Elephas maximus indicus: one gene and its partner. Each later gene encodes a partner of the first gene's protein in a complex. Links are inferred from orthologs where the notes say so. Each region holds a gene or a part of one and is shown on either strand. Other genes may lie near its edges. The genes, in order: TNRC6C and GIGYF1.

Evidence for each region.
Region 2: the proteins of TNRC6C (region 1) and GIGYF1 are in contact, whole or in part, in a crystal structure (PDB 7RUQ), measured with the Homo sapiens proteins. The link is inferred for Elephas maximus indicus from reciprocal best matches to the Homo sapiens genes TNRC6C and GIGYF1. Residues at the interface, in NP_001136112.2 of Homo sapiens: Arg1719, Pro1720, Pro1721, Pro1722, Gly1723, Leu1724, Thr1725; in NP_001362694.1 of Homo sapiens: Tyr479, Asp481, Pro482, Gln487, Phe490, Trp498, Tyr503, Phe504, Leu508.

Annotation. Positions count from the first base shown.
Region 1 is NC_064837.1:67,968,761-67,985,478, forward strand, and holds the start of TNRC6C (trinucleotide repeat-containing gene 6C protein), read left to right. Parts: upstream 1-9,295; 5' UTR 9,296-10,675; coding exon 10,676-10,816; intron 10,817-11,587; coding exon 11,588-11,609; intron 11,610-16,718. UniProt on the Homo sapiens protein: Plays a role in RNA-mediated gene silencing by micro-RNAs (miRNAs). Required for miRNA-dependent translational repression of complementary mRNAs by argonaute family proteins.
Region 2 is NC_064830.1:92,089,152-92,105,486, forward strand, and holds the start of GIGYF1 (GRB10-interacting GYF protein 1), read right to left. Parts: upstream 9,054-16,335; 5' UTR 8,789-9,053; intron 8,758-8,788; exon of another isoform or gene 8,629-8,757; intron 4,755-8,628; 5' UTR 4,665-4,754; exon of another isoform or gene 3,729-4,664; 5' UTR 3,602-3,728; intron 3,502-3,601; 5' UTR 3,437-3,501; intron 3,298-3,436; 5' UTR 3,224-3,297; coding exon 3,189-3,223; intron 3,092-3,188; coding exon 2,962-3,091; intron 2,846-2,961; coding exon 2,750-2,845; intron 2,563-2,749; coding exon 2,451-2,562; intron 2,325-2,450; coding exon 2,216-2,324; intron 1,818-2,215; coding exon 1,777-1,817; intron 1,545-1,776; coding exon 1,374-1,544; intron 1,138-1,373; coding exon 884-1,137; intron 763-883; coding exon 654-762; intron 137-653; coding exon 1-136. UniProt on the Homo sapiens protein: May act cooperatively with GRB10 to regulate tyrosine kinase receptor signaling. May increase IGF1 receptor phosphorylation under IGF1 stimulation as well as phosphorylation of IRS1 and SHC1.

The DNA of each region.
Region 1 (16,718 bases):
AGTGTCTCTCGAGCATATCATATTCAACATGTCCTTCCCCAGTGCTCACCTCAGGGAACTGGCCATCATACATGTAGTCACACTGGTGAGAGACAGTGGCTGTTCCTGACACCCATGTCCAATTAATCACCACCTCCTGTTCCTTTTGTCTCCTAAATAATTTCAGATCCTTGCACTGTCTGTCCCCAGATCCTTTACCACTCCCCAAAACTGAACTAGAATCAGCTCTCTGACTGCAGTCACCTACTCATTGACTTCTCTTATCCACTCTCTCTTACGATCCATTCTCCACAGAGTAGATGGAATGGTCTTGTAAAAACACAAATATGATATTTTCTTGCTCAAAATTTCCTGCTGTGTATTGCTAAAAAAAAAAAATTTTTTTTTTTTTTTTTTATTGCTCTGAGGATAAAGATTTTTAAAAAATTAGCCTTACTGTACCCTGGGAGACCTATCCTAGCCATTTCTTCCGCTGTTTGCTATGCTTTAGGCCCATTGGTCATCTTGCCATTTATTGAGCATGTCATATTTCTTTCGTTATAGAGCTTTCTCGTACCTGTTGTTCCCCCACCCTTTCGGCTAGCTGTCCTTCAGAGCATAGCTCAGGCCATAGAAATCTTCCATGATATCCTGAGAGGCCAGAGCCCTCCCCTGTGTGTGCTCTCATAGCACCTTGTACTTTTTTAGCACAATCGTAATGGATGTTTGGGGAAGTTAGTTGTCTCTCTCTCCCACAAAATTACGTTTTTTTTTTTTAAAAGCTCATGAAGTATAGGTATGACCTTGATGGGATATATTTATTTATGTCATCACCCTAAGAAGTAGCCTATTAGCAACTATAATAATTTGTCTTTCTGGTTTTTATCCAGTAATTTCATAGGGTAGATCAATTCAGATTGCTTCCTTAGAGGTATATTATGTTTCATTTGTTCTAAGAAAGACTTTTTCCTGTTTTTAACATCCCTGAACTTGGTATGCATCTTAGAGCCAGCGGCATATCGTGACGCCATTGGCATATCATGACGCCGTTGGCATATCGTGACACCATTGGCATATCATGACGTCGTTGGCAGCATTTTTTCCTTCTTAGTAGTGCATAAAATAATGGTGTATCTAATAATTGAAGGCATCTTAGATTAGATAAAATGTGGTATTTGTAACAGATTTGTTCTGGCAGGTTTACTGAGAACCTGCGGTGCTCAGTCATTCCGTGGAAGCATTAGTAAGATTTCTCTGTAGCCATTGCAGGAATCTTGATCTGCCTAACATCATTTTGATCTTACTCTACAGAGTTGACTTTTGGGTACTTAATTTATGTATCATTTGTTCAGGTAACACACACATTCAAATTGTGTCTGTATATGTATATCTTCCTTTTTTAGGAATATCATACCCATTTTTAGGAGTCCCTTGGTGTTAACATGCTTAATTGCTAACCGAAAGGTTGGTGGCTCTAGTTCATCCAGAGGCACCTTGGAAGAAAGGCTTGGGGATCTACTTCCGATAAGTCAGCCATTGAAAATCCTCTGGAGCGTTCTGACACACCTGGGATTGTCATGAATTGGAATCGACAACAACTGGTTCCTGATTATAACCACTTTTATCTCCAGGTAGAAGTGGGCGGGCCATCTGTAGGTTCCAGATACTGTTAACTATCCCCCTGAATACATTGTCCCACTCTTCCTTTTAGAAGAAGCTCCAGACGAGCACATCCAGAGCCTTCTCCCCCAGCCTTCCTCGTATCTAGATATGGACATGTGAATAAGTTGTGATTAATTGGATGTGAGTAGAAATGAAATGTGAACTTCCCGGGCATGAATCAAAAGAAATTATTTGCCCTCCAATTCTTATTTTCCCTCCTCTTTGTGGCTGGAAAGGTGGCCATGGTGCTGATGAGTCAGCTTTCACCAGGGAGGCAAAGATAAAGATAGTACCATAAGGGAAGAGGGGCAACAGTATGAAAAGAACCCAGGTCTCTAAATGACCTCATGGAATAGAGATGTCAGCCAGCCCCTGGATTGTGGGGGAGAAATATATCTTGAGGACATTGTATTTTGGAATCTCTTTTTTATAGCAGTGTCACCTGTACCTGTACTCTAACTAATGTATTATCCAAGAGGTTGTTTTTGTTAGGCTCTTCAGTGTCTTAAAAATGTGGCCATCCTTCCCACAGTTCGTTTTCAGTCTGAAGCTGTCACTCGGCCTGCATAGAGTGCATGCTCCTCTAGGATGCAGTGTGGTGCAAGATGCTTGGGTCTCAGTCACACCTCAACTTGGACAACAGCTCTGACACTTACTGTGTCACCTTGGGCTACTCACTGAGACCCTCTGTATTCAGATTCCTCTCCTTTAAGATGGGATGATGTCCATCTTAGGAAGGTTGTTTTGAGGCGTGGATGAGATCTATTTAAAAGGCCTTCTAGCTCTGTGCTTAGTAAATGACAGCTATTCTAGGTCTGGGGCTGGGTGGATGGTGGTATCATCTCTTTATTTTTGAGAGATATTGCTGTCATTAATTTTTCCAAAGAATGTGACCTCAGGCTCTCTGTCGCCCTAGTATTTCTTCAGTTGGAACTTAGTATTTATGGAGAGTTATTTGATTTTCTGTGTTTACCTTTGTGTGAATCAAGCAAAACTATCAGAAACCTTCATGTATGTCCTGTGTTGCCTTGGCTTCCTAGAGAATTGCTGACTTTTGGAGAATTCACTGGGTTTTCCCATCATGCTTTTGGTTGTTAGATCCTACTCTTGCCTATAGGAAGGAGTCCTGGTGGTACAGTGATGAAGCCCTTGGCTGCTAACCAAAAAGGTCAGTGGTTCAGAACCGCTGCTGCAAGAGAAGGATGTGACAGTCTACTTTCGTGAAGATTTCAGCCTTGGAAACCCTACGGGGCAGTTTTACTCCGTCCTATAAAAAGAGCTGCTGTGAGTTGGAATCAACTCACTGGCAGTGGGTTTGGTTTGGGTTTTTTGGTACCTTGCCTATGCTCTAGGAAACCCTGGTGGCATGGTGGTTAAGAGTTACGGCTGCTAACGAAAAGGTTGGCAATTTAAATCTACTAGGAAACTATGGGTAGCTTCTCTGTCCTATAGGGTTGCTATGAGCTGGACTTGAGGGCAGTGGGTTTGGTTTTTGGTTTTACCTGTGCTCCAGGACAGGGAGGGAGCTGTCCAGTGGTTTTTTCTGTGCTGCCTGGGTGAGGTACCACCTGCGAAACTTACTTTTGGACCTAAGTGGTAGGGAAACTCTCCCCTTACGGAACTGTTGTATGTTCTCATGGTTAATGAGGATTCGTAAAGGACAGAGAGAGGAATTGAATCATAAATAGTAACATAATGTGGTAAATTGCTAATTGTTTTTTACTGTGGGGCAAATTATAGGTTAGCTCTGCATACATGTGGTTCCACCGAAGTCTTTTGAAGAGGTAAACTCTAGACTTCTTGTTTTGCTTTGTTTTGTATTCTTTAGAAAATCCGAAAGCCAAAATGGCGGCAACTAGCAGTAAGATGACTTTGAGAGCAGTAGGAAACCTTTGCTTTTTAAAATCCATGTGCGGACACGGTATCAAGTACATAGTCCATACAGATTTACACTTTGGGCATTAGAGTTGATTTAAGACGGTAATCCCAAGGCAGTAGTTTAAGGCACAGAAACAACTATTTGTAACTAGTAAGTACTTGTTAGTACACGCAGTACGAGACTGAGCAGGTCCAATTTGGTCCGGTAAACTGTATGCTGTTTGTTGAATGAACGACTAAGATTAACCCTCATTACATAAGAGCGATGTGGCAGATAATAGAACACTCTTTCATAATTTGGTTGACTCCCTAGGATCTCTACCCAGACAATTTTGTTGGCATATGAACCTGGTTTGCTTGAAAATAAAATAGAAAATCAATCGAAATTTTTTCAACAATTGAATTTTTTCCAGTAATTCTCTTCATCATTTCTGAAATCTGAGTTTCTACATTTCACATTTTTAATGTGAAGTATCAATAATCCTTTTAGTTACCTGTTTTGTTTTTTTCCCCTGCACAATACAATTGGTCACATTTTTTTCTCCCCTGCTTTTAGTTTCACTATAGAAACTGTGTAGGTAGGCCTTTGAGATCTTTATCAGCTTATAACTTCAGCTCATACCCTCAGCCTGCTACTGTCCTCACATCCAAACCCTGGGCTTCAGAGAAGTTTCTCGATCGGGGGCTGGGTGGATGGCAGTATCAGCTCTTTTTATATTTGACTTTTCCCTCGTGCAGGTTGTCATACAGCTGTTTCTGCCCAGGTCTTACGTACTTGCTGTTTTCTGAAATCAGAATCCAGCTTTGAGCTCCTGAAACACAGTAGTCATCTTAGTTCACAGACCATCTCCAGGCCGGTTCTTGCATTGAACAGCTGCCCCTGGCCTCCGTTTCCTCACTGAAGTGACTGGGCTACAGTTGTGTGTGGCTGGGATTTGTGCTCCTTTTTTGTGATCGTGGTGTACAGCTGCTTCTCAGCTTGTCCAGGTGTGCTGCAGGTTTTGGAACATAGATATGTCATGGAGTTAGAAAATCCTGGACAAGTGATATTAGCCAAGTTCAGGCAAATAGAGTTACTCGTCTGTCTAGTTTGGTATTTCAGGTCTGTGAGTTGTTAATTAAATTTAACTTGCCATTTATTTTGATGTAATTTATTCATCGTTTGGGCAAATCTGTGAATTTTATTTATTTATTTATTGGTATACCCAGCTCCAGTATTTAAAAGTCTCTGGCTGATTGGCAGGGTGAAAAGGCTCTAATTTGAGGTTTCCTGTCAGTGCAGGTTCAGTCAGGAGGACACCATGCAGTAATGTGAACAGGGAACATTTACAGACTCAGAGCAACGAGGGATTGGCTGGCAAGAAGTAAAGAGAACCCTAAAGGATAGAGGAATAGCAGCTATAAGGAGTAGCCACTGCCTCCAGGGCTGAGTTGGAGCCCTCAAGGCCGAGCTCCAGACCTCACTGGAGAGGTCACGCTATGCTCACTGGACGCAGAGAACTCATCAATGCCGTGCTGGCAGAACTTGCCAGAAATCCACCTTCTCAGGTGAAAGCCGCTCACAGGAAAGGGTCTTGTTGGAGGCACTCTGCTACAATCCCCTCAGCAGAGGTTGACAGGGGAGGCTGCTGGCCACAGGTGCTGGAGAAGTCGCCACTGTTGCAGGAGCTGGGCACTGGGGAAGTCAAACCCGCGGCGGGAGCCTGGCAAGCACGCGCACTGGAACCTGGATGCAAAACTTTTTTTTCCAACTGTGTCTCTCTAGCACCCTCTACTGAAAATGCTTAACATCATGCCGATTGGCAGAGGAAGAAAACGTAAAGGTCCCAGATGCATTTTCACAGAGCAAACAAAAAGAGGAGGTTGGAGCTCGAGAGGCAATAAATAATAACCAGCACAGCTCCCCAACTCCAAACTCCTTTGTAGTTGGAGGTAGGCACTTTTGGGAAAGGCATTACGCTGATCATTGGCTACACACTACAAGCTTTTAAATTTCTAGCAAACAATGATATTTTTTAAAACGCGCATACATCCTGGTCATTCTTATTAACTGCTCCATAGCACACCAAGACCTGACAGCAAAGATTACTGTCTTTCAGACTAGTTAGGGATTTTCTTCTATTATGTTAAATATATTTAAAGTACGTTCAAGTGTCCTTAAGTAAGTTGACTAAGAAAATGGAGCTCCAATAAAAGGTAATAGCATTACTTTGTGACTTAATTCAAGGCTAATCTAAACTCAAATGAAATATAGAAAAGGTTTTTCACAAAACGGCACTTAAAACTCTTATACTTGTAATTTACATGTTAATGTAGTAAGTAATACTACAGTTTCTATAGTGGTGAAAATGTTTACTGAACCTAATTAGTTTTGAGACAAATTGTAATTAAATAATGCTGAATTCAGTCAGGTTTTCAAACTACTAAGTTAAGTTTAGGTTTCAATTTGCTAAGAGTGGGAATTTCAGATCACTTCCTTGTGCGCATGCGGAACCTGTCCATGGAGAGGGAGGAAGTTGTTCGGACAGAAAGGGGATACTGAATCATTCAGAATTGGAAAAGGTATACAACGGGTTGTATCCTTTCACCTTACTCAAGCTGCATGTTGACAAAATAATCCAAGAAACTGGGCTATACGAAGAACAAAGCATCAGGTTTGGAATAAGACTCATTACCAGCCTGCGATATGCAGATGACACAAACTTGCTTGCTGAAAATGAAGATGACGTTAAGTACTTAACTGATAAAGGTCAAAGATTACAGCCTTCAGTATGGATTACACCTGTACATGAAAAAAACAAAAATCCTCAAATTGGACTGATATACAACATCATAATAAACGGAGAAGAAATTGAAGTTGTCAGTGGTTTCATTCTACTTGGATCAGCAATCAATATCCATGGACGCATCAGTCCAGAAACCAAATGGACATACTGCATTGGGCAAATCTGCTGCAAAAGTTTTAAAAAGCAAAAATGTCACTTTGATGACTAAGATGCGTCTGACCCAAGCCATGGTCTTTTCAGTCACCTCATTTACGTGCAAAAGTTGCATAACGAAAACAAGAATTGATGCCTTTGAACTGCGCTGTTGGCAAAGAATGTTGAATATACTGTAAACTACCAGAAGAACAAACAAATCTTAGAAGAAATACAACCAGAATGCTCCTTAGAAGCAAGGGTGACGAGATTTCAACTTGACTACTTTGGACACGTCATCAGGAAAGACCAGTTGCTGAAAAAGGACGTCATGTTTGTGGTAAAGTAGAGGGCTAACAAAAATGAGGGAAACCCTCAATGAGATGGATTGACACAATAGCTGTAAAAATGGACTAAAATATACCAACGATCATGAAGGTGATGCAAGACCAGGCAACATTTAGTTCCGTTATTCATAAGGTTGACATAAGTAAGAGCTGATTGGACAGCAACTAACAACAATAGGTTTAAATAAATAAATTTGTTAGAAACCATTTGTGTGTCAGGATTCTTTGGTTATAAGCAGCAGAAAGAACTGCCATGTAACTTTTAGGAAGATGTGAGGTAACTGACAGAACTGAAGGAAAAACAGAAGGGCCGAGCTAAGAAAGGGCAGGGGCCCACTGTGGCCTGGAGAATCTAGGTAACTGGCCCCAGTGGACAGGTTCTTAAGGGTATGGTCAGTGAGATGAATCTGATCTAGCTGTTGGCCACTCCATTCAGTTTGCAAATCCCAAGGAGTGTCTTGATTGGCCTGGCGTGACTCTCCTGCTGTCAGCATTACTGGGGAGCAACCTAAAGGTATGAGGCTGCAGACCTGGAGGACCTCTGTCGCCAAGACTTCGTGTTTTTTTCCGTTTCTCAGCTTCACTTCCTTGGTGTTGGCCTCATTTCCAGGGCCTGTGGGTTTGAGAGATGCTGCAGCACCTTTCAGCCCTGAGGTTCTGTTAAGTCCAGACCCAGCAAAAGTGTCATCCCTGAGCCACTGCCCCTGAACGTCCACAGATTGAGAGTGAGTGTGGGAGTGGGACTCCAGGTGAAATGAGGGAACAGTTACCAACAGGAGGACTAAAGGAAGCTGGGGGTAAATCTGCTTCAGAAGACCTCTTTAAAGTCAAGCAAGATGTCACTTTGAGGACTAAGGTGCACCTGACCCAAGCCATGATAGTTTCGGTCATCATATATGCATGCGAAAGCTGAACAATGAATAAGGAAGACCGAAGAAGAATTGATGCCTTTGAATTATGTGTTGCTGAAGAATATTGAACATACCACGGACTGCCAAAAGAACAAACAAGTCTCTTGGAAGAAATACATACAGCCAGAGTGCTCCTTGGAAATGAGGATGGCGAGACTTCGTCTCACATACATTGGACATGTTATCAGGAGGGACCAGTCCCTGGGGAAGGATAACATGCTTGATAAATAGAGAGGGTCAGCAAAAAAGAGGAAGATCTTTACAAGATAAATTGACATGGTGGCTACAACAATAGGTTCAAGCATAGCAAGGATTGCGGGGATGGTTCAGGATCGGGCAGTGTTTTGTTCTTCTGTACATAGGGTCAGTATGAATTAGAACTGACTCAACAGCACCTAACAACAACATCAACACTTAAGCCTGAACAGAGACAACCAATGATTAGCAAACAGTTGCGGAAAACTTCCCACATCAAAGAGAGTCTAAGAGAAGAAGAGTCCACGGAAGAAACAGGTAACGTAGGAAACAAAAAAGCTTCAGAAAAACCCTAATATCCTCAGATAGAACAGAGATGATTTCGCATCCATAATACGAAAACAAAATGTGGAGAAGGAGCAATTAGAAAGCAAGAACGTCATTAAGAAGCACAGTGCAAAGATTAGAAGACCAAGTAGAGCCAAGCACACAGAAAATAGAATAACAGAAAGGCATGGAGTAGAAAATAGAAAAGTTATAGAGAATCAAACCAGGAGGCTCAGTATGTTGTTATTTAGAAAACAGAAAACATTTTCAAGAAAATAGCTGAAATTATATTTTTATGTTGAAAGAGTCAACCAAATGCAAAGCACAAATAATGAGGGGTGGGGGGGGAGACACCAAGGTACATCATCATGAAATTTCAGAACCCAGGGGATAAAGAGATGCTATAAGCTTCCATAGAAAAAATATATCACCTAAAACGGATTGAGAATCAAAAAAATCAGACATGCTAGAACAGTGGAATTCTCTGCTTAGCCAAGCCACCATTCAAACAAAAAGGCAGCCTAAAACTGTTTTCAAACATATATGGTCTCCAAAAATCAACCTCTCACACGTTCTTTCTTGAGAAGATACTTGACGATGTTTTCCAGCACATCGAGGGAGTAATTTAGGAAGGTGTAAGACAAGGGAAGTCACAGGATGGCTGAATTAATAAAGTCAAATCAGTGTTAATAGATGATGATGTTTTGCTGAGGCATTTGTACGTTTTGTTCCTTCTGCTTAGTCTGTTAATTCCTCCTTTCTGCTCTATCAGTCTGGGTCCAGTCAGAAAACAGAAATCACACAGTGGTACAGACAGAAGTTTATATTAAAGAATCATTAAGCTATGATACAAGAAAACTGGCAGAGCACTCCCAGCCCAGACAGAGCAGGACTGAAGGCCCTGGAAGGTAGATTTGGGGGGGGGGGGGGATTCATGTTTTAAATTTTGGAGGGAAGCATACAAAAACAGGATTTTTGTAAGGAAAATACTGTAAGAGGAAAAGAAACACAATTGGGAACTCAAAAAAAAAAAAAAAGAAAAGAAAAAAACAGCTGCACAAAAGGTAAAGTGTAATCCCAGTATATATTCTAACTCTGCAGCAAATATTTAGATATTCTTTGTAAGTAAATGCTGTTTATTGATTTAACTAAAAGTAGTAATGGATGGTAAAATGGGGGTGCTCTAAGAGCCATATCCACATCCGTCATTACACTAATTGTTAATGTCTCAAATTGGTGAGCCGAGAGCCTAGCCATCCACATACGTTATTTAGAGCTGGGAAGGAACATAGCTTCCCTGTATACGTGGGGTATATAATTAAGTGAAAAAAGAGTAACACAGAAGAGTGAATAGTCTGTTTGCATTTGTTATTTAAAAAAAAAAAGGATGAGTACATGTATAGTCGTATGTAGAGATACCCTAAAGATATCCAAGAAACTGCTAACATTTTGTTAACCTCTAAGCAGAGGGCCGTGGGGGTGTTGGAACAGCAGTCTTACGTTTCATTATGTATCTTTTTGTACTGTTTATGGCTTTCCCCCCCCATGAGCACTTATTACTTTATAAAATAAAAATGCGATTAAATGTTGATTTAAAAAAATTATTAATGATATAACAGAAATTGCACACTGGGGGTTAGAGGTAGAAGAGATTACTGCTAGCTAGGGGGAGATTAGATAAAGCTTTATTAAGAGCACATATCTGAACTACTCTTTCTCACGTAGACATGGGCGTGGGCGGGAAAGCGTAAGCAATTTCGTGGGCTTTAAATTTACCATATTGTGTACTTAAAGCAGTTTTAGGTTTACAGAAAAATTGTGGAGAAAGTACACAGTTCCATGTATGACCTTCCCACTGCACACACTCTCCTGTTACTAACGTCTTTCATCCATGTGCTATGTTTGTTGCAGTTGGTGAACCATATTGATATGTTACTATTAACTAAAGTCCTTGGTTTACATCATGCTTCACTCTGTGTGTTATATAGCCCTGTGTGTTTTAACAAATGCATGATGTTGTGTGTCCACCATTACAGTATCATGCAGAGTAGCCTCACTGCCCTAAAGATGCCCTGCGCTCCACCCCTCCCTCCGCTGGGACTCTACATTTTAAACAGGTACCCAGATGATTCTGATGATTGTGGTCCCTGAGACAACACTTTGAAAAATAATATTCTGGGGCTGAACTGTGGGAACTGCATCTTACTCCATTCTATTCTGTACCTTCCTCTCCGAACACAATGCCTGATAGTAGGTTGGTGCTCAACAAATATGGGCTGAATGAATGAGCCACTGAAGAAGTCAGGGCAACTTGCTGTTATTCTCAAAGGGTGCCTGTGATGGGGGTGAATGTCTGTGTCTTAACACCTGTCCTTCAAGGGTCCTTCCTTACACCATATGCGACTCAGCTGCCTTAAAACTTCCTGCTGCTAATGCTTCTCTCAATTTTCGATTTAAAATGGACATCGTACTAATACCACTTTTCTTTATATTCGACAGGGAGAAAGAACAAAAAACACAAGAAGAGGAACGTTTGATGGAAGAAAAGAAAAAGAAAAAGCAGGAAGAAAAGAAAAAGAAGGAAGGTGCTCAGAAAAAGGTTTGGCTAGAGTTACTCCTGATCTTCCTTGTTTTGAGAATCATTGTGTCTCATCTCTATGATCATAGCCATTGCATTACTAAGTTTCATTCTGCTTTTTAAATCAAGATACTAAATCTGTAATTAGTGGAGAATAGCTAATGTGCTAGTGAGATAAACGTAGGACGACCGCCACAAATTGCCTTCCTTCAGGGCCGAGAGGTACCGGAGCTGCTGCGTGTAAAGGTTGATGGAAGTGGCGAATGTCCACACTGTCCCGCTTGAAGCGAGCTGCCCGGGGTTGGGGGGGAAAGGGCTGTCTGGCTGATGTTGTCAGAAAAGCTCAGAATAACTGCTGCAACTTCAGCAAGCGTTCTTCTACAAAATTCTATTAGTAGATCCTAAAAATTAAAAGTCCCACTGTAAACCTTTGTAGACATGCTTGGATTTCATGGTATTTAAAATACAAAGTAAGGCCATTTGTTTTTGCTCTTGCCTAGTTTCATACGTTTTATAGTTGAAGCTGCATACCTCCCAGGCCGTATCACAATAGAGCTCAAAGGAGCTTTCCAGGGTGGGTTTTTTTTTGCCTTTAGATTGTTGTTGGCATGTAATCAATAGCATGTAGGCAATTGTATGTTTTTCCCCAATAATAAATGATAAAATTAACTGGACAAAATCGTGATTTTAAAATTCTAGTATTAGAAGTCCACTTACATACTTTCATAGATGGGTCCATCCTACAGGTTATTATTCCTAAAGAGTTTCTGATTTTTTTTTTTTTCCCCCCAGGCTGCTGATCAAAAAACCAAAGGTAAGTTTATTTATATTTGTGGGGGGCTACATTTTAGGACAGATCAAACTGTTTATGATGAAGATGACTAAGTTTTTAATTGATGGTTAAAAAACAGAATCTAACTTAGATTTTGTGCTGACTTTTTATTATTCGTTGTGAAATTCTTCATTTATCACTGGTTTTACATCTGCATTTCATTGGCATTTGCCTACTCTAAAAAACTGCCTAAAGGATGTTAATGTAAGTTTTATTAGCAATGCGTTACAGTTTTCCTTCGGTTTGATTTCTGCTAAACAAGGATTACGCTGATACAGGCGATCCGACCAAAGGGCACTGGATGTCTTTAAAGTCTCCGGTTCCTCATTGCCAGCTTTTCCTTATGGTAAAAAGGGACATGTTCTTTCTCTGTTCCTCCTTTGTCTATTGATATGTAAAACTTTCTCTTTTCTTAAATTCTCCAAGTCCAGAGTTTGCTGCTGTCTTATGGGTATTGGCGGAAGCACACAGTTCTTACTGTGATTTCCTGGCGATTCAGAATGAGCACAGTGGGAGCGACACTGGGAGCATCTTCATTGCAGACTTGACATGTTTAGGTGCTTTCTAGTGGTGAGGAGCACACACTCCGGAGTCATAAACCAGCTCTGGTTAACTTTGCGCAAACCACTTCCCGTCTTTAAGCCTCAGGCATCTCATACTTAAACTGAGACACCCTGCCTCCGAAAGCTGCTGTGAAGACGAGCGAGATGATGCTCGGACAGGGCTCAGCTCAGGGCCCAGCACACAGTCGGTGCTCAGCAAAGGCTAACTGTATTCACAGCTGTTATTTTTAAGTTTTGTTTTATATTGGAATGTCACATGTACACAGTTGTACCCGCCGGCATGAACTATAGAGATCCTCGTGACCAAGGGTTCACTCAGGCAGTGCCACTGTGGAGATTCTGTTTTTGTTTGACATTTTATAGTTTTCCAAGTAAAGTGTATGTATATTACGTCATCTGAATGTCATACTTCAGCAGGACAGGTATTAGTTTACAGATGAAAACACTGAGGCTCGTAGTACGCGTTGAGTGGCTTGTCTTGGTCTGGCATCAGTGGTAAAGATGGAAGCTGAGGGGTACCAGGGCTTCTGCCCCCAGTGCACTTGGCTTTAGTGCCTCTGCACTAAACTGCCTGTAACCTGCCGCCCTGGAGTCCGTTCTGACTCGTGCTGACCCCATCCCTTACAGGGTAGACTGCTCCATAGGGTTCTCCTATCTGTGATTGTTACGGCAGTAGGTTGCCAGGACTTTCTGCCGTGGCACCACAGCCTCGTGGTGAACTGCCAGCCTTTTGGTTGGTAGTCAAGCACAAAACCTTTGCACCGCCCAGGGATTGCCTCTGTACTGGAGTCACATTAAAAGATGGATTTAATATAAAGTAAATATGACAAGATGGATTTAATATAAAGTAAATATGAAAGGACAGCACAGGAAAAGGAACTTTTTCTCTCTTATACTCAGGAACACTGTGAATTTACATGACGCTCATTTTTAGAAGGGCCCAAAGGGCTTGTGGTGCATAGTTGTATTTGAATTTATGATCTTGAGTAAGGAGCAGTGATTTCTCATTTAAATTGCCGTTTAAAAGTACAGAATTGCCAAAATGTTCTGCATCATCCATTTCCTTTTTTAACGTTTTGTGAACTTTTTACAACCAGATTCAATATCAGCTATCTTCTGTTGTCATTGTTTTCTGCACGAACAGTAGCAAATTGCTCACTGTACAGTGATGGTGAAGTGTACCGCGCTGCTGCTACAGAGTTACTGTTTCCTATCACTGTCCCAGTGAGATCTTCCTCGCCAACTCCAGACTCTACTGGGTTTTTATTGTTTCTAAAATATTCTTCCTCTGGGTACAGTTTGTCAGTAACTGTACTAACTAGCCTTAGAACAGGTCAGAATTATAAATGTCCTTGTAAACAAACAAAAAGCTTTCTGAATTCTAAATAACGCACCATCTGTTGGTAGGTGCTGTCGAGTCGGCTCCGACCCAGAGTGACCCTGTGCGCAACAGAACGGGACACTGCCACCTCCTACGCCGTCCTCACAGTCCTTGTTACACTTGAGCCCATTGTTGCAGCCACTGTGTCAGTCCATCTCATTGAGGGTCTTCCTCTTTTTCGCTGACCTTCTACTTTATCAAGTGTGATGTTCTCTAGGGACTGATCCCTCCTGACAACACATCCAAAGTATGTAAGATGCAGTCTCGCCATCCTTGCTTCTAAGGAGCGTTCTGGCTGTACATCTCCCAGGACAGATCTGTTCGTCCTTTTGGCAGCCCGTGGTATGTATAGTCAGTATTCTTCGCCAGCACCGCAATTCAAAGGCATCAATTCTTAGGTCTTCCTTATTCATTGTCCAGCCTTGACATGAATATGATGCAATTGAAAACACCATGGCTTGGGTCAGGCGCATCTTAGTCCGCAAGATGACATCTTTGTTTTTCAACACTTTAAAGAGGTCCTTTGCAGCAGATTTGCCCAGTGCAATACGTCTTTTGATTTCTTGACTGCTGCTTCCATGCGTGTTGATTGCAAATCCAAGTAAAATGAAATCCTTCACAATGTCAACCTTTTTTCCGTTTATCATGATGTGGCTTATTGGTCCAGTTGTAAGGATTTTTGTTTTCTTTATGTTGAGGCGCAGTCCATACTGAAGGCTGTAGTCTTTGATCTTCATCAGTAAGTGCTTCACGTCCTCTTCACTTTCAGCAAGCAAGGTTGTGTCATCTGCGTAACGAAAGTTGTTAATGAGCCTTCCTCCAATCCTGATGCCCCGTTCTTCTTCATATAGTCCAGCTTCTTAGATTATTTGCCCAGCATACAGATCGAATAGGTATGGTGAAAGAATACAACCCTGATACACACCTTTCCTGACTTTAAACCACTCAGTACACCCTTTAATAACTGCCTCTTGATCTATGTACATAGATAGTTGTACATAGATCTGTGTACATAGGTACATGTACATGATACATAGATCAGTCCAACGGTGCTGCTACGTAACTCATTAATGAACACCACCAGTGGAAACCCTGGTGGCGTAGTGGTTAAGAGTCTGGGTGCTAACCAAAAGGTTGGCAGTTTGAATCCACCAGGCGCTCCTTGGAAACCATATGGGGCATTTCTCCTCTGTTCTGTAGGGTCACTACAAGTCAAAATCGACTCGACAGCAACAAGAAAAAGAAAATGGGAGCAGCATCAAGGTTTAAATTTTTCTGCAACTCTCTGTTATTACTGGTTCAGATCAAAATTAGCTGCCTGTGAGATGGTGGTTCTGAATTTCTGACTGAACTTGAATGAGATAATATAGAATGACAGGATTATATTGTAGGAATAGCGTCCTAGGCTGGGTGCTCCAGAGAAGCAAAACCAGTGAAGCACGTGTATATATATACAGAGAGAGATTTACCTTAAAGAAATGGCTCATGCAGTTGTAGAGGCTGGCAAGTCCCAGATCCGTGGGTCAGGCATCAGGCTAGAGGCTTCTCCTGATTCACGTAGCTGTAGGGGCTGACGAACCCAAGATGGGCAGGTCAGACGACAGGCCACTGGCTCATGGGCTACGGAGGCTGAGGAATCCAAGATCAGCAGATGGCAGGCTGCTGCCTCACAGGCTATAGAGGCCTAGAAATCCCAAGATTGGCAGGCAGTACAGCAGGCCACTGGCTCAAGTCCCAAGAACCGAAGGTCAGATAATGATGAGCCAGAGACAGGATCCAGAGGCTAGCAAGCAAGCTTTATTAGAACATCGAAATATATATTGGATTCAGGCCATGCCCCCAAGGAAACTCCCCTTACAACTGGTTGGCTCATTGCATCAAATCACATCATGGAGGACGATTGCATCATTGTATAACTGCCAAAGTACCTCGTTACATAACTGCCAAACCACTGAGAATCATGGCCCAGCCAAGTTGACACACGACCTTAACCATCACAAATAGTATGACTGTTGGTGCTCTAACCCCTGCTCTAGCTTGTAAGCCAGTGAGGCAGGGCCAGAGTGGCCTGGCTCATACCTCCATCCCCAGGCCCTAGCCCCCTGCCCAAAGTCAGGAGGCCTCAGAGCAGCATTCTCACTCATCGACAGCTTTTGTGCCAGGCCCTGTACTAGGCCCTCAAATTTATTATTTGTAGATGTTGCCACTGTATACTGTTGATGGTGTTCTCTCCAGTGTACAGAGGAGTAAACTGAAGCTGTGAAAGTTTGCCAAGTGCCCCAGGCTGCATAGCTAGTGAATCGCAGGGCTGTGCCCGGGATCTGTACTCCCAGCAGACGTTTATCAAGCATCTACTATTTCACACACCTCCTGTACTTCCAAACAACCCTGTAAGAGAGGAGATGAATGCTCAGAGAGAGAAATAACAGCCCAGGTCACAGAGCTAGGACATGGCAGAGGTTGGTCACATCTGACTCCAGCGTCCGATCTCCAGACCCAGACTCAGTTGCCTGGCCAACTGTGATGACCAGCCCTTGGCAGTCACCAGGAATGGAGAGCGGTACTGTCACCATGAGGCAGCACCTCAAAGGTCAGAAAGAGCTGAGCAGTGTGAGCGAGCCCTAGAGCTGACTACTCTGAAGAGAGAGACTAGAATTACAGATTCGATTGTGTGATGTACTGAATCAGTTAACTAACGTAGCAGAAGCAAGTTTGGATTGCTTTGGTTTTGATAATTAGCTCAAACTAGACCAAACCAATTAGTAATTTCTTTGTTCTGGAATATTATACGCCATTCTCGAATCATAGTGTTAGGAAAGCAATACCTTCATTATCCACTGTTACATTTGACTTAATTTTCTCAATAACTGAAATTTAACCTTCTTAACTTCTGGTCTGTTTTAAACATTTTTAGAGAACTCTGTAGAATATATTGTATACACACATCTGTGCTTTCTTCTTAAAACCAGAAACAAAAACCTGTTGCCTTTGAGTCAATTCCAACTCACTGTGACCCCTGCTTTCTTCTAGATATTAGTCTTGTCCAATCTTGATAAATCCATCTTTATTATACATTAATTATGCTATAACCATTGAACTATGAATCTTCATTTAAAAGACTAATATAGAATTGAATCTAATTAGAAG
Region 2 (16,335 bases), on another chromosome or scaffold:
TCTGCTGCTGGCAGCTTTTTCTCCACAGCTTCATCACCTTCTCCATTAGTTCCCCAGAGTGGGCCCAAGGTGGGCAGTGGGGACGGGGAGCTGGACGACTTCTCCTGAAGAGGAAGCGGGGTCAATTCCTTCCCACCTGAAAGAGTAGTTACCAAAATTCAAAATCAAAGAGCTATAAGGCCTTAAAAATGATTTACCACAAACCCTCCATTTGTGGCCATAGCTCAGGTCTCTGGGCATTGGGTCCATCTCACGCCCATATAACTTTGGTCAATTCAACCAACATTCAGCACCAAAGACTCCAACGTTGCTCACTTACTCTTTTGTCCTGTACAATGCAGGACACACGACGCATGTGGCACATCACTGTACAGAGCTGTACGTAGCAATACCGTGTAATACCAATTCTTTAAGAGGTTCTCACAAGTCATTTTGATTATGTGTGACTTCTGTCTGAGACGCTGCCTTTAAGGACAGAGCTCTGTTGTTTCCAGACTCCTCCCCCGTATCTGTCAGCACCTGCTTTCCTCTCGTTTCTAAGCAGCTTTATTGTAGAGGTGGCTGGGCAGCCAGTACTCAGCCTGGTGAGGGACCCCTTGCCCAGCCGGCCTAGCTCAAGGCTGCTGTGCCTCCTTCTTACCCTGAAGGCTTACCTGCCTCAGTCCCCTCCTCATCTAGCCCTTCTGAAGGCTCATCCTCCTCTTCCTCCAGACCCTGGAAGTCCAGCTCCTGTTCCTCAGGAATTGCCTCCTTGGGGCCCTTCTGCATGGTGTTAGGCGATATGATGGGAAGAGAAAGAGGCAGAAATTGGGTGTGAGTGAGAGGTCTCAAATCAACCCACCAACCTCTAACAAAAATCTTTCCCTCGCCTCCTCACAGATACCTTGAGAGGCAAGAACGCCCCAGAGGCATCGAAGGTGCCCATTTCTTCATCCTCATCGTCCAGGCACCACTCCGGAAGCCCGTCCTTGTCGTCATCAAAGCCGTCAGGCCCTCGGGACCTCCGAGGGTGAGAGCTGCCTCCCCCACCCCGCCCCTCTTCTTCACCACACCCTCCTCGATCCCCTCGCAAATCGAAATCAAACTTGCGACGCCGTTCCCCATGCTCCCGCCAGCCAGCAGAGCGGGGGCCACCATCTGGGCAGGAGAAGTTGGAGGGGGAGGAGAGTCAGTATCCTAGTCAAGCCAGAGTCTCCACCCTTCTGCTGCCCACCAGAATACCCCTAGGAACAACTACCATTTCCAGGACTGCGGCCTTACCACCCCCACTCCTGAAAGCTGTCTGCTCCCCACTCTTGGCCACAGGAGCCCATCCTCACAGGACAGTTCCTGCTCTTCCCCCCTCCCAAATGCACAGCTGGCCCCAATCTCACCAGGACTGGCTGAGCGCCAGCGATCGCCATCTCGCCGGGGGCCTGCCCCCAGTCTCCAGCTGCCCTCTTCCTCATCCTCTTGCTCCTCTCGTAGAGAACGCCAGTTCTCGCTATCTGAGCGGGCATGTTCCTTGCGAGGACCAGCCCCTCCCTCCTCAAACCCAGATCGTGCTGGAGTGGGGGGTAGGGGAAAAACAGTACTATTAGCAGGATGGAAGGAACGATACCCAAAAGACTCCCACTATCTAGCAAACCTTGCTGGTGAATGAAGAGCACAGCTCCAGGCTCTCCTGCCCCACCCCCCTCAAGAAACATTTCCCTAACTGGGATCATCCATTTCAGTCCTGTCCCCTCCTCACAATGACCTTGAGGCCCTGCACACCACCCTCACCTCCCTCCATACCTCCATCCCTCCTTGCTGACTTCTCAAACCGTCTCTCGCCCCTGCAGGAGGTAAAGGCATTGGTCAAAGCACTGCTGCCCACCCCCGCCTCAAACTGTGGATCTCTGCGCACCTTGTCCATTGTGCCCGAGAAAGGTGGAAGATGGGAGGGGCAGCAGAAACTAGGGAAAAGTCAAGCTTATGGGAAAGGAACCCACTGGGGCACAGAAGAGAAGATCACAGAGACAAATGAGTCCTAAGAGAATCATAAAGTAAAGGGGGAGAATGAAACCACAAGGGCTCAGAGGGCACACAGATCGCTGACAAGGACTTTCCTTGGTTAAGTCCACTGTTCCCCTCTCATGACAAAAACCCAAGCCTCCCTCCATGGGACTCCAGGACCTAAACCCTTGAGTTTCTCTCCGCTCTGCCTCTATGCCACATCTCCTTCAGCCCATACCTGTCATCCCAGCTCTGGCTACGCTGGATCTCCCGGGGATTCCGTCCAAAGGCCCCATCGCCTTCTTCAATGCTTCTTTGGTAAAAGCAGCTGTCACCGCGGCCACGGCCTGAAGAAGGCATGAGATCAGTACAGAAGACTAGGTGATGGGAAACCACCAGATAACTGTGCCACACCTCAAAACCACAGGCACCACCTCTGCCCACCCCCTACAACACTTAATAACCCCCTCTACCTCGGCTTCTTGTGCTGCCCCTGCCACGGGAGGTGCCACCTGGGGGGGGGCCAGCCCCTTTCCCCATCAGCCTTAGCACAGCCACACTGTTCACTGACAGGGAGAAGTTTCTCTGAGGAGGGAGCCAGGGGTGGGAGTGAGGACCCAGGCACCGAACCACTCCCCAGCCCTCGTGCAGAACCTCAAGCTCCACCATCTATCTTCCCAACGTCAGTCCCAGCTCCTCCCCAAACCCAACCTCGACTGCAGCCTGCCGCCTTCCCAGGACCCGGCTGCCTCGGTCCCCCGCCTGGCCCCACCTGCTCCTCCTCAGTCAGAGGCTCCAATGCCAGGGGCTGCAGTGGCTCCTCCTGTAACACCGCAGCAAACTCCTTGTCCTGTAGCTCATCAGGGACCTGTCATTTAGGGCAGGAGTGCTGAAAAACCATGTGCTCCTAGGCCCTCTCCATGGCTAAGGCTAAACAAGCCACTTGGTCATATACCTCCTGTGCCCATCCACCCACACACCCACCTTGTTCTCCTTAATGTAGAGGGCCAGCATCTCCTCTCGCCCATAACGATAGTCAGCAAGCTTGTATTTGGGCATGGCAGGGGATGGGGGTGGGGATGCCACACTGCCCCCGCTGGAAAGGGCCCTCAGCCTAGGAAAGGTACAGAGAAAAAGCAGAAGGAGTGCTGTCACAGTAGCCGTATTCTTCATCCTGCTTCTCCATGCCACCCAGAGCACATGTGACTCACCACTCAGGCCCAAAGTTGAGGGTCTCTGCTGCCATTGCGGAGCTGGGCGTGTTTCCTCGAGGTCGGAGGGAATAAGCAGAGAGAGAACCTGGCGTTCACTCTCCAATAGCTGTGGAGGTATAGGGGACGCAGGACCTTAGAGAAGAGCAGCCCAGAGAACCTCTAGAAGGTCAGAAATAGGTACGGCACCTTGGCAGGGACAGGCGACAGGCTTGGGGGGTGGGCCACCTGGGCTCTAAAGGACTCACCTGAGCCAGCAAGTGGCAACTCACACCATGAGTTAATCAGAAATGAGTCAATACGGGGGAAAGACCTGGGGAAAGGGAGAAAACAGGGAAGTTCAAGCTCCTTCCAGCCTCTGCAGGGGCTTCCATGCAGGTACCAATCTCTCCCACCCTCTGCCTCAGACTTACCTGGCAGCCTTGCCCCAGAAGCAAGTAAGGCGGGGCCTGTGCTGAGTGAACTAGGGTTCCCAAGCTACTGGATACTAGTTTGACCTCAGCAGTGACTGGGGAGGGACCTTCACAACTGGTAAAGGTCCTTAAGCAGAAACAAAGGGAAGAGGTGGGTTACATTAATGGGTCAGATGGGACTCCCTACCTCTGGCCCTCCTGTCCTGTATAAGTGGAGAAGCCCACAGGCTGCCTGAAGGCTGCTTGATACCCAGCACAGAAGACCACAGCCCCCGGTCCTTCTCATCTCTGTCCCCCTTCATTCTGCCTCGTGAGCAGTTAGTTCATTCAGCCAACACTGAGGGTCCCTGGCGGACGTGCAAGAAGCCAAATGCCAGAGGTATGCCAGAGAACCCACCAAGCATAGTCTCTAGGTCATCAGCATTCTCCTTGAAGGCTGAGATAGAAAGTATGGTACAGCATTCGCTAAGGAAAGTGGCTAAAGTACATATAGACACTCAGAACTGAGATAAAAACAAGTAAAGGACCATTCAAAGGGAAAACCACCCCAGAAAAGGTTAATTACGGAGAGGAAAATGAGAAATAAATCTAAGGACAAAACTACTTCCCATATGAAAAAAATCAGGGTTGGCTATTTGGTGGCTAGAGCGCAGGTACTCGGCCTGGGGAGACACCCACTAAAAGGGAGATGGGGAAGACTATCCCAGGACCAAGGATGGGGCACACACTTCAGGCTCCAGGCAGGGAAGCCTGGGCCGACACATCCAGGGGCAGGTACACCAAACAGGAATAAACACCTGAGCCCCCTGCCCCAGGACAAGCCGATGACAAGTAGAAGAAAATATCCAAGAAGTGAACCACGTTATTATGAGAAAAGCTGGGGAACGGCTTCTCCCATCACAAAGTAGAAATAAAATCAGTTACTTTATCGCTGATATCAGAAGAGGCCGATATCAAAAGAGGCAGCAACAGCGCTCTGTCCCTCTAAAGAACAACAGAGGAGACTCATGGGAGGAGGCTCATCCCCGTTGGCGCCTGAGCAGAGGTGAAGGTGGTGTCTCACAGAGCTAGGCAAGAGCTTCCGTCACTGGCTGGGAGGGAGGCTGGAGCAGATCTCCACCACTGTATCCATCAACTCCAAGACTCGCTAATCCTGGGAAGAAGGAGAAAAGGGTTTCATCAAAGGTTTCGAAGGAAAGAGGCTGTCTTATCTATGGCCGACAGTAGGAAGACGAAGTAAAACTGCGTGACAAACACAGAACTGCAGCACTTGGGGGTGAAAAGCAGCTTTCGGAGATGAGCTAGAGCGAGGCGGGCCTCCCCTCAGCAGCGGCATCTCTTCCACAGACAGCCTCTGTTGGACGTTTCTGGTGATGGCACATGTGGCGCGTGCCACACCTCACAAGGCCACCAGAGAGGCCAAGCCTGTCGAAAAGTTCTTCCTTCCAGTGAGGTAAAGGAGGTCTCCCAGAAAAACGGAGTAAAGCTAACTCTTTCTCTACTCCACAACCCTTAAGATATTCAGGGGGAACCTACTGTGTGCCTAAGTCTTCCCCACTCCAAAAAAAACACCCCATGTTCTTCGTAACAAACCTCAAGAGAGGTAGTTTGAGACTCCTCACTAGCCAGTTTGCTCTAGAAGAGCCCCTGTCTTCCAAAGGGACGAAACCTCATCCTATAGACATGGACCGGCTAGGGGCAGCGAGAGGGAAACAGAAAAATGGGAACCCCCCCCCCTCCCAGGGTGTGGCAACAGCAGCTTTCCTCAGTGCTTTCTGCTTCTTGCCTTCACCTTCTGTCCTGGTGTAAGCAACAAGCAGAGGAAAAGTGGCTTAAACAAGCGTGAGAAGCAGGAAAACTGCAGAGGCAAGGGAGGCAGTCAGGGGAGACAAAGAGCCCCTGGGCAGGAAAAGGCCAAAGCCATCCCACCTTCTTGGGGAGAAGCTAGGAGTCAAAGTTCAAGTCTTTAGGACCTGCCAGAGAGGGGTTTGGGGTCCCAGAAGCTGGATGGCTGCCTGATCCTTCCTCAGACCAAATGAACCACTGTCAAGCAGCACAGATGGCACCCCCCCCCCCGCAAAACAAGGTGCAGCTCTGCTCCCCAGGGGGTATTTGATGGACATTTTTCATCACCACAACTGGGAAAAAGGTTGCTACTGGCTGCTAGTGGGTAGAGGCCAAGGATGCTGTTGAACAATGTACAGGACAACCCCCACCACGAAGAATTATCTGGCCCCAAAAGTCAAGTGTGCCACTGTTAAGAAACCCTCCTCTTCCGTGTGAACACAGGTAATGCCCGTTCTGTGTTTATGAGGAAGGGTAAAGGACAAAAACCACATTTACTCAGTTCATTCTCTCCTGTGAACAGTGGGAAAATCCTTCCCTTATGATACTGTCCCAGGAGAGAAAGCCTTGAGAAAATAGCTTAAAGGGGGAAAAAGTTTCTCTATCACAAACTCTCAAACAAAGCATTTGGATCCCCTTCCTATGAAGGCCAGAGCTGGAGAGACAGACAGCAGAAAACTAGGGACCGCATTCTTTTCTGCCTTACATTTTCCTGGCTTTTCTCACATGGCCCCTTCCAGCTTATCCACTACCTCTCTGTACTGCCTCAGTATGCCTACCACATACGACATCTGCCCATTCCCTATCCTTCCATTTCTTCTCTTTCTTGGGCCTCAATACACACTCAGGTGGTACAAAAGTTAGGTGCTCTGCTGCTAACCAAACTTGGGTGGGTCAAACCAATTCAGCTGCTCTGGTGGAGAAAGACCTGGTGACCTGCTCCTGTAAAGATTACAGCCCAGAAAACCCTATGGGGCAGTTCTGCCATCATATGGGGTCACTATGAGTCAAAACTGACTTGACAGCACCTACCAACAATACCCAAGAGCATCTGCTCACTGCTCTAGCATGGGAATTACTGCCATTAAAAGGCTGCCCCCTGCTGGAGATTAGCAGAGAGGACATACACTGGTCCTCACACAGGCTGGAGGGGACAGAAGGAAGCCTGGCAGAGTTCAGAACTCAAGAGAAGGAAAAGACCCAAAAACAAGTGGTCCCGATACCCACTAAGTAAAGACCGTTATTTCCACACCCCATCGCCTCTAAAATTGGCCCAATCCAGAGCAGTGGCCCTTGGCACAGCATGGTACCACGATTAACAGGAGAATTCCAAATTCCCAGCATCTGGAGCAGTCGCCCAGCCCCAAGTCTGCGAAGGTGACTCGGCCCTTTCTCAGGATGGAAAGATTCTCCACTGGGTGAGAACGGTGAGGCTTAAAAGGGGCGTACAAGCCTGTGTTCTTTCTGGCTGGCCCCAGCTCTCTACGCTCTAAGCCCTCATGGTAAATAATAATGCCACCTGGCATTTGTATACTATTTATCGGTTTTTAGAGTGCTTTCACACTTTTCCTTTTTCAGTCTGGGGCTCCAGCCAGGGAAAATAAGAAAGTAAGCTGCAGCTGCTCAACAGGGTTTCCCAACCTCCCTCAGCACCATCCCAGACTGGAGATGGATCGCCCAGCAACAGTTAACTGTCCCAAACGCTCAGGCATACTTTGTGTGTTTAAAACCATTTTTATTTTGTCAGACTTTTTTTTTTTTTTTTTAAACCCTCACGCAGCCTCTTCTCACCTTCTCTCCTCTTAAATATGGCTACTTTTTCTACCCCAAACTCCAACCACAGATGTAAAAGTCAGGCCAAACTGGGTCCTTTATCCATCGCATCACACACAACACTAATGCACCCACTAGCTGAAAAAGCTAGTCCAGAAGTCTAAGCACTCAACTCTCTAGACTTCAGTCACCATAGGAGACCTTACAGGCCCCTGCCCCCCGAGGAGAGGGCGGATTTGCCCCCAAACCTTTCCCAGTTACATGACAATGGGGACACAGACCCAAACAATCTAGGAAATAAAACGAGCTAGGGTGGAGAGTGGGTGGCCTGGGATTGCAAAGGGAAGAGTAGAAATGGGAAAGAATCAAAGACAACTCATATTGGGAGAAGCAGACCAGGACTGGCCTATTAGTACTGATGGTTTCACTTCCCAAGGCAAAGGGGCAGCGGGTAAATTGAAACTGGCGTGTTAGCCTGGAGGGGCTGTGGGAGAGGCTGGGGGGAAGCCCACGAACTTTGGGAAAACAGGACTTTGAGAAACAAGAGAGGAGTAAAACTGGGGTGGGCAGAGGCAAGAGCCAGCCAAGTATGCATTTAGCATCTATCAGTGCCAAGCACTTCGATGGAAGAAACGTGGAAGCTTACTGGGAATTCTGGTAATGACTGGGTAAAAAGTGATAAAGATAAGGGTCTCTCTGCAGTTACCTGAAAAAATGCAAAACCTGAGGGGCTGTGGCCAAGGAGCTGCCGCATCAGGGGAGATGGGCTGAGGAGGTGCGTGTGAGGGCCTAGCTTGGTGAAGGATTAAAGAGTCTCTGTTAAAGAAGATGTTTAATACTGACAAGCAACTGGGAGGAAGGAGACCCCAATGACCAAGCACTAACGTCGCTTGCTGAAAGGAAATTTTAGTGAAGAACCAGTCGAGATGTCTGATTACGGGAAAAGGCTTCCAAAGTCATGAACGCTTGGACTTTAAGCCCCGCAAGGCCCAGCTGATTCCCACAAGAACACCGAGGCGTGTTGGGGAAAATCTCCAGGAAGCGCCAGTCACACAGCACGGGCTCTGTGAAGAGCTGACCATTAGGGTCGGGGACCCCCTCGGCGGGCCCGGCGGAGGATGCGAGCGGGTGGGATGAGGCCCCCGGGGGAGATCGGCTCTCCGCCCCGGGCAGAATTTGGGAAGGGCCCGAAGGGGCGACCGTTAGGAGCGCGGGGGTGGGGAGGAGGCGGGCCGGGCCGGGGAGGACAACGTGCCCTTCAGGGAGGGGGCGCCAGGTGCGCGGGGCGCGGGGTGAAGGGCGAGCGGCGCCAGGAGGGCCCTGGGCTCTGAGGGCGCGCGGGGGCACGGCCCGCTTCGGGGGAGGGTCCGCCGGCGGGCGTCGGGGAGGGGCCGAGAGGGCGGACGCACCGGGCAGGCGACGGCGACCTCGGGGAGGAGACGGGGGAGGGTCCGGCCGGCGGCCCGCGCTCTGGCTCTCGCAGGCTCCGCGCGGCCGCCTCGGCGTCGGGGGCGGGCCTGCCCCAGGCCCGGCTGCGGGCCGGGGTCCACGAAGCCGCCGAGCGCTTACCGCGGGCGGGTGGCGCGAGGTTCGGTCCCAGGGCGTTGGCGGCGCGCGGAGGGCGGGCGGCGGGCGGGCAGCGGCGGCGGGGGAGGGGGCGCTGGCGCTCCCGCGGCGGCCGCTCCTCTCTGTTTGTGTTTGTAGCAAGATGGCTGCCCGCCTCGCACCACGTGACGCGGACGCGGGGACGCGGGGCCGCCCCCTCCGCCGTCGCCGCCACCGCCCTCCGCGGCTCCCGCGGGCTCGGACCCCGCACGGCCTCGCGCGCTCCCCGCGTGTCCAGAGGGGCGCGGCACTGACGCCCGCCCCGCCGAACGCCCCGGCACGTGACCCGGGAGCCTGGCTCGTCACGTGACGTGAGGCCTGCTGCTGGCGGGGCGGGGGGATGCCCCCGGGGTTCTCCCTGAGCTCCCGGGGGTACCCCCGGCACGTGACGCGGGACCCTCGGGACTGAGACCAGGGCTAGTGGCATCTTCGCCAATTCCTGACCAGTCGGCTTCCTTCAGGAAGCCCGCCTGGATTGAAAGAGACAAAATCGAGAAATGTGCATTATGCATCTTGGGATATGTGAAATAAGCGAAGAACCTCATCACTTAGAAACAGTCCCAGGCGGCAGTGGCTTGTGAGACCTGGAGTTTCTGGTTCAGCTTCTAGATCTCGGGCGAATGAGTTGAAGGTTTCGAGCCCCAGCTTCTTTTTTATTTAAAAAAAAAAAAAAAAATAGTGCCGTCTTTTTTACAGAGGGGTGTTAATGCTGTTCCCACCACCCACCCCCGCGTTCCCTTCATTGATTGCTGTAAGAATTTAAATAGGTGAATGTGAAAGCTTTGGAAAGAGACAAACTACTATGTAAATGTGAGACGTTAGGCTGAAACTTCGTTTGTTTAAAAAAGAGGTTTTCAAGAATGACTCCTCCGAATCGCTGAAATTTTTAGGATGAAAAAGTTTTGCGTGTGTGTTCGTCGTTTTCTTTGGAAGTCATTCCAGAATGTAGACTTTACTTTCCCACTTTCTAAAACAGCTGTTACCAAACACAATGTAATCCTTTTCATGACGGGAAAGTAAGTTCATGACTTGGAACTTGAGTCCCTTGTGTGGTACCTTAACAGAATGTGGACTTCAGGAGTGATCTCGAAGGCCCTTTGTTCCTTCAGTAAGCACCCTCTTGCTTCTGTGCACTGTAGTTTTAGTCTTTTTTTTTTTTTTTTAAGCATGCTTTAAGTGGAAGTTTATAGCTCAAGTTGGTTTCTCATACAAAAATTTATACACACATTGGTATGTGACCCTAGTTGCTATCCCTATGTCAGCACACTCCTTTCCATCCTGTATTTCCCGTGTCCATTCAACCAGCTCCTGTCCCTTTCTGCCTTTTCATCTCACCTCTACACAGGAACTGCCAATTTAGTCTCACGTATCTACTTTTATCTACTTGAACTAAGAAGCACAGTCTTCGGGAGTATCATTTTATGTCTTACAGTACAGTCATCTCTGTCTGAAGATTTGGCTCCAGGAATGGTTTTAGTTTGGGGTCAACAGAGAGTCCAGGCAGTGTCTGTTTTTTAAGTTTTGTTGGCTTTCCTGCTTCTGTGTTGTCTTGCTTGTCTTGTAAGCTGCTTGCTTACTGGCTGGAAAATGCAGTGGTTAAGAATAAGGACTCCATCCCTTACTGACTGTGACCTTGGGCAAGTTGGTTAACCTGTCTTTTGTGGTTTGTATCCTAAAGCATTTAGCATGGTACTCGTCAAGCCAAACACTCCACAAATGTTAGCTAATAGGGGCTTCTGGTTTAATGTGATTTGTGAAACGCAATATTCAGGACAGTTAACACTATGAAAATGTGTATCAGCAGAACGCAGCTTGAGTCAGAGAACTGCTAGAATAAAATAAGTGTATGGCCACTGTTTTTTCTACTTAAAAGCTTTTGTTGGTGGTTTACTTTTCTGGATTGGAGTTATGTTCTAGGTGGTTGAAGTTACCAGCAGCCTAATCTCTCAATTTAATAAGCAAACGAGATTGTAAACTATGGTAAAGAGATTATACAGGGAAAAAGAGGGTGGGTCTCTGTGGGGTGGAAGCAGCCAGGACACTGGCTGTTTGAGCTGATCTGGTGGGAAGGGCAGGATTTGGATAGATTTAGGAAAAGTGCAGAAGTTCCTGGGTAGTGCAAATGATTAAGCACTCAGCTACTAGCCAAAAGGTTGGTGGTTCGAACCCACCTAGATACCCCTTGGAGGTAAGGCCTGGCCATCTGCTTCTATAAGGTCACTGCCATAAAAACCCTATGGAGCGCAGTTCTACTCAATGGCAACTGGTAGGAAAAGTGTGTGTAGGTTTGTGAAGAGTGACAGTCCGGGCTGATGAGAGAAGAGGATCCTGAACCGCTAGTTGAACAAGAAATGAAGTGAAACTTAAGTTGAGGGGCTGGAATGCTGCTGTGAAAGTCTGCGTTTGAGAGTAGAAACCACTGTGGATGTAGCATAATAAGGACAGCACACTGGATTCCAGGGTAGAAGGTTGGGGCGATTGCGCAGGATCCCCTGTGTATCATTTTGCAAGTCATTTAATCTCCCCGACTCTAAAGTGGGAGGGCTGTTTCTGATGACACTGAATGTATAGGCTGCCTCTTTGAGGAAGGAAACAATTAAATCTGAACTGTGAATCTCCCATCCGGTATTATGAAAACAGTCACTTGGACCTAAAATACTTTTGTTTATTCAGGTGCTATGCTGTAGAATGTCTTGATCTGGGTTGTTTTCAATTTGCAAACGTTTGAACTTAACAAAGATTTAGTTAAGATGATTAATTGAGATAAAAGGGAGGTCTCAAGACTAACAGCCAATCTCTGCCTTTTTTATAATGCCAGGTTCATCTGTGGTGTTTTCCTTCAATGAAATGTAAAGAGATAAGGACTCTCTTGTTGTTAAATCAGTTTATTACAGAGACTGACTTCACCCACCTAAATTGCCAATGTTTATATTTAGCTGGATATCAACACTTGTAAAACATGTGTCAAATACCATGAAAAGACACACAGCCTGAGCAATGTGGTGATAGTTCATTAAAGTGACAAAAAAAAACCTGTTGCGTCAAGTCGATTCCGACTCATAGCAGCCCTATAGGACAGAGTAGAACTGCTCCACAAGGTTTCCGAGGAGTGGCTGGTGGATTCAAACTGTTGACCTTTTGGTTACCAGCTGATTTATTAACCACCACGCTACCAGGGCTCCTGATTAAAGCAAAGCCTCATAAGTTGTCTAAATTCCTGAGGAGTAAGAAACAGGATCAGCACAAAACTGGTTCCAGTGGGGCGGAGGTTCAGCTATAACTCTGCCTCCCCACTTTCTCCATAATTTCTGACACCAGCCACTCCCCCCGTGACACTCTACTTCTCTGCAGGACTTGATAATTTATTGCAGTGGCCTCACAGAACTCACAGACCATACTCACAGTTATGCGGTTTATTAGGAAAGTTAACAGGTTATATAACTCAGGACCGTATCAGCTTGGAAGTTGCAAGAACGCAGGATCCGTGTCAGGAAACACACAGGCCTCCAGTGATCAGTTGGGTGTGGCTTCTCTGCCAGGTGGCTGTCTTCTCTGCCTTGCAGGCCCCTCCATTGTCAGGCTCCCTGCCACTAACTGGCCCAGCTCATAGCCAGTATAGCAGCCTGCTCAGCTTTCTCAGCTGCTGCTCTGCTAGTAGCAGCTCTGTACCGTCAGACCTCTCTGCCATCGGCTCTTCCATGGCTAACTGGCCCAGCTCATAGCCAGTGTAACAGCCTAGTCAGCTTTCTTAGCTGCTGCTCTGCTAGCAGCAACTTTCTGCTGTTGGACCTCTCTGCTGTTGGGTGCTCTGCTTTCAGGCTATCCGCCTTCAGCCTCTTTGCTGCTAATTGGGCCAGTTAACCGCCCGCGTAGCAACTGTTCAGAAGTAGGCCTCTTTGCTGCTAACTACCCCAGCCAGTGTAGCAGCTTCAAGATCACTCAGTTCCCACGTGGCTCTGCTTCTCTGTTGGGCAGCTCTTAGCCAGTATCTCCCTCTCTCTTCCAGGAGGCCTCTCAAAACTTCTGCAGTTCAGCCATTTATATATCCTGATCCTTGTCAGTTACAAGGCGAGGCCTCCCTCATCAGACCAGTTCAACCAATCCTCAGTCAACCCCTGCAATGTCAATCAACTCAGGTCTTGTTAGTTATCAGGGGGAAGTATCAAACCATCAAGTTGCTTTTACAGTTTACCCAGGAAATGTCAATTAACCTAGAAGATCCCTTGGGCAAAAGTAATACACCGTTTGGGGTAGAAAATAACCTGGGAGCCCCCGCCCACATTGCTTCTCCGAAAAATTAGGAAAAAGAGTTTAAGGGGGAAAATCTCCCAAGCTGGTTTTTCCCAAAGAACCAAAGCAAAAGGCCGCGTAAAGGAACTCAATTTGCCATGTCCCTAAACTGTGCTTGTAGTAAATTATTTCAGACACAGTGGGCCTTAACATTAATGTATTACATTCAGAATTACTTTTGGCCATGAATTAAGTTTTCTGATCGGCCTACGTAACAAGGGTGGCAATATTTCGGGGATTTGGAACAGCAGCTTTCTATTATCCACTGCTCCTTCTATGTGGTCAGGCAAGCTGCTTGCTCACAGGCTAGAAAATGCAGCGGCTCAGAGTGAGGACTCCCGCGCTGCTTCCATCCTGTACTGACTGTGGCCTTGGGCAAGTTGGTTAACCTCTCTGTCTGGGGTGGTTTGTATCATAAAGCACTTGTCACAGTGCTTTAAAGTTAAAAGTACGCCTGACAATTTCATAACCCCAAACAACGTGGAACTTTCTTTATATTTGGATAATAGCCACTTGGTGGAGTTGATGTGAGGACAGGAAGAGAGAATGCCTCAATAAAGCACACTATTAGGGGTAAACTGGTCTGCAAATGTTAGGTGTATTGTTAATAAGACAGACCACACACAAAAAGCAGTTGGGTTTTTAATACACAAGCAATGAACAAGTAGAAAAGAAAATCAAGGAAACATTACTATTTACAATAGGCAAAAAAAAAAAAAAAAAACCAAACACGGTGCTGTCGAGTTGATTCCGACTCATAGCAGCACTATAGGACAGAGTAGAACTGCCCCATAGAGTTTCCAAGGAGTGCCTGGCAGATTCGAACTGCTGACCCTTTGGTTAGCAGCTGTAGCACTTAACCACTACGCCACCAGGGTTTCCACTAATAAAATACCTAGGAATAATTTTAACTAGGAAGGAGAAAGACATGTGCACAGAAAACTGTAAAACATTTCTAAATGAAATCAAAGAAGACCTAAATAAATGGAAGGACATTCCATGTTTGTGGGTTTGAAGGCTTGCTATAGTTAGGATGTCAATACTATGCAAAGCAATCTATAAATTCACTGCAGTCCCCATCAAAATTCCAACAGCTTTCCATGCAGAAATGGAAAAGCCCATCCTCAAATTTGTATGGAAGGGCAAGGGACCCTAAATAGCTAAATCAATCTTTTCAAAAATTTTATTTATTTTCTTGAGAATATACACACACGTTAATTCAACAGTTTCTACATGTACAGTTCAGTGACATTGATTATATTCTTTGGGTTGTACAACCGTTCTCACTCTCCTTTTCTGAGTTGTTCCTCTCCCATTAATAAACTCACTGTCCCCTAAGTTTCCTATCTAACCTTTCAAGTTGCTGTTGTCAGTTTGATCCCATGTAGATAAATCTTGAGAGAGCGCAGTGCTCAAGGCAGACATTCTTTACTAGGTAAGTTAAACTATTGTCTGATTTTAAGAAGATTTCAGGGGATATTTTTGGTTTAAGATTTAAAGATTATCTTAGAGCAATTGTTTCAGGGGTTCATCCAGCCTCCGTGGCTCCAGGAAGTCTAGAGTCCATAAAAACATTGAAACTCTGTGCAGCATTTCCCCCTTTTGATCAGGATTCTTTTATGGAATCTTTCATCGAAATATTCAGTAATGGTAGCTTGGCACCATCCAGTTCTTCTGGTTTCGTGGCAAAGGAGGCAGCTGTTCATGGAGGCAATTAGCCATACATTCCATTTCCTTTTCCTACTCCTGACTTTCCCTCCTGTGTTACTCCAGATGAATACAGACCAATTGTTGTACATTAGATGGCCACTTGCAAGGTTTTAAGACTTGGGAACTATGCGATGAACTAGGAGGTAGAACAGAAGCACTAAACACACTATTAGACCCAATTCTGGGATGTCCCACGAAACCATGACCTCCAAACCAAGGAACCAAATCCCACGAGGTATTTGGTTGTACATAAGCAGCCTCGACAGCTACTTTTTTGTTGTTGTTGTTGTAAATATATGTCACACAACTTTTACCAATTCGACTATTTCCAGGTGTACAACTTATTGACAGCACTTACAATACCCCTAATCAATGCAATTTTTCCATCACCATAAACTGAAACTCAGTACTCCACAAGCAATAGCCCCCCTTTTCCTCTCCCTCTACCCCTGGTAATCACTAATAAACTTGGGTCTCTATACAGTTGCCTGTTCTTATCCTTTTATATAAGTGGGGCCATACAATATTTGTCCTTTTGTGACTGACTTATTTCACTCAGCCTAATGTCTTCAAGCTCCATCCGTATTGTAGCATGTATCAAGACTGCATTTCTCCTACTGGCTGAGTAGTATTCCACTGTAGGTATTAACATATTTTGTTTATCGGTTCACCTGTTGATGGGCATTTAGGTTGTTTCCACCTTTTGGCTATTGTGAATAGTGCTGCAATAAACATTGGTGTACAACTATCTCTTTGAGTCTCTGCTTTCAAGTCTTTCAGGTATATACCTAGGAGTGGAATTCCTGGGCTATATGCTAGTTCTATTTTTAGTTTTTTGTGGAACTGCCACACTTTTCCACAGAGGCTGTACCAGTTTGGATTCCTGCCAGCAATGGATAAGGGTTCCAATTTCCCCACATCCTGGCCAACATCTTTTATTTATTTATTTAATCTTAAGAGGTCCTAGTAGAAATGAAGTGATAATCTCATTGTGGTTTTGATTTGCATCTCTCTGATGGCTAACGACATTGAGCATCTTTTCATGTGTTTGGTGATCATTTGAACGTCCTCTTTGATGAAATGTCTATTCAAGTCCCTTCCCCATTTTATGATTGGGTTGTCTTTTTGTTGCTAAGTTGTTGAAGTTTTGTATATATTTGAGATACTAGCTTCTAGATCAGATATAAAGTTTCCGTAGATATTCTCCCAGTCGGTAGCTTGTCTCTTCATATTTTTGGTAAAGCCTTTTGATGAACAAAAGTTTTTCATTTGTATGAGATTCCATTTATTTATTTTGTCTTTTGCTGTTTGTGCTTTTGCTATTAGATAGTCCGTTGTTAAAAGCTAGGCCCAACAGCATCACCCCTACATTTTCTTCTGAGAATTTTATGGTTTTAGTTTGTACATTTAGTTTATTCCATTTTGAATTTCTTTTTGCATATGGTGTGAAACATATCCTGTTTCATTTTTCTGCGTGTGGAAATCCAATTTTCCCAGTGCCATTTATTAAA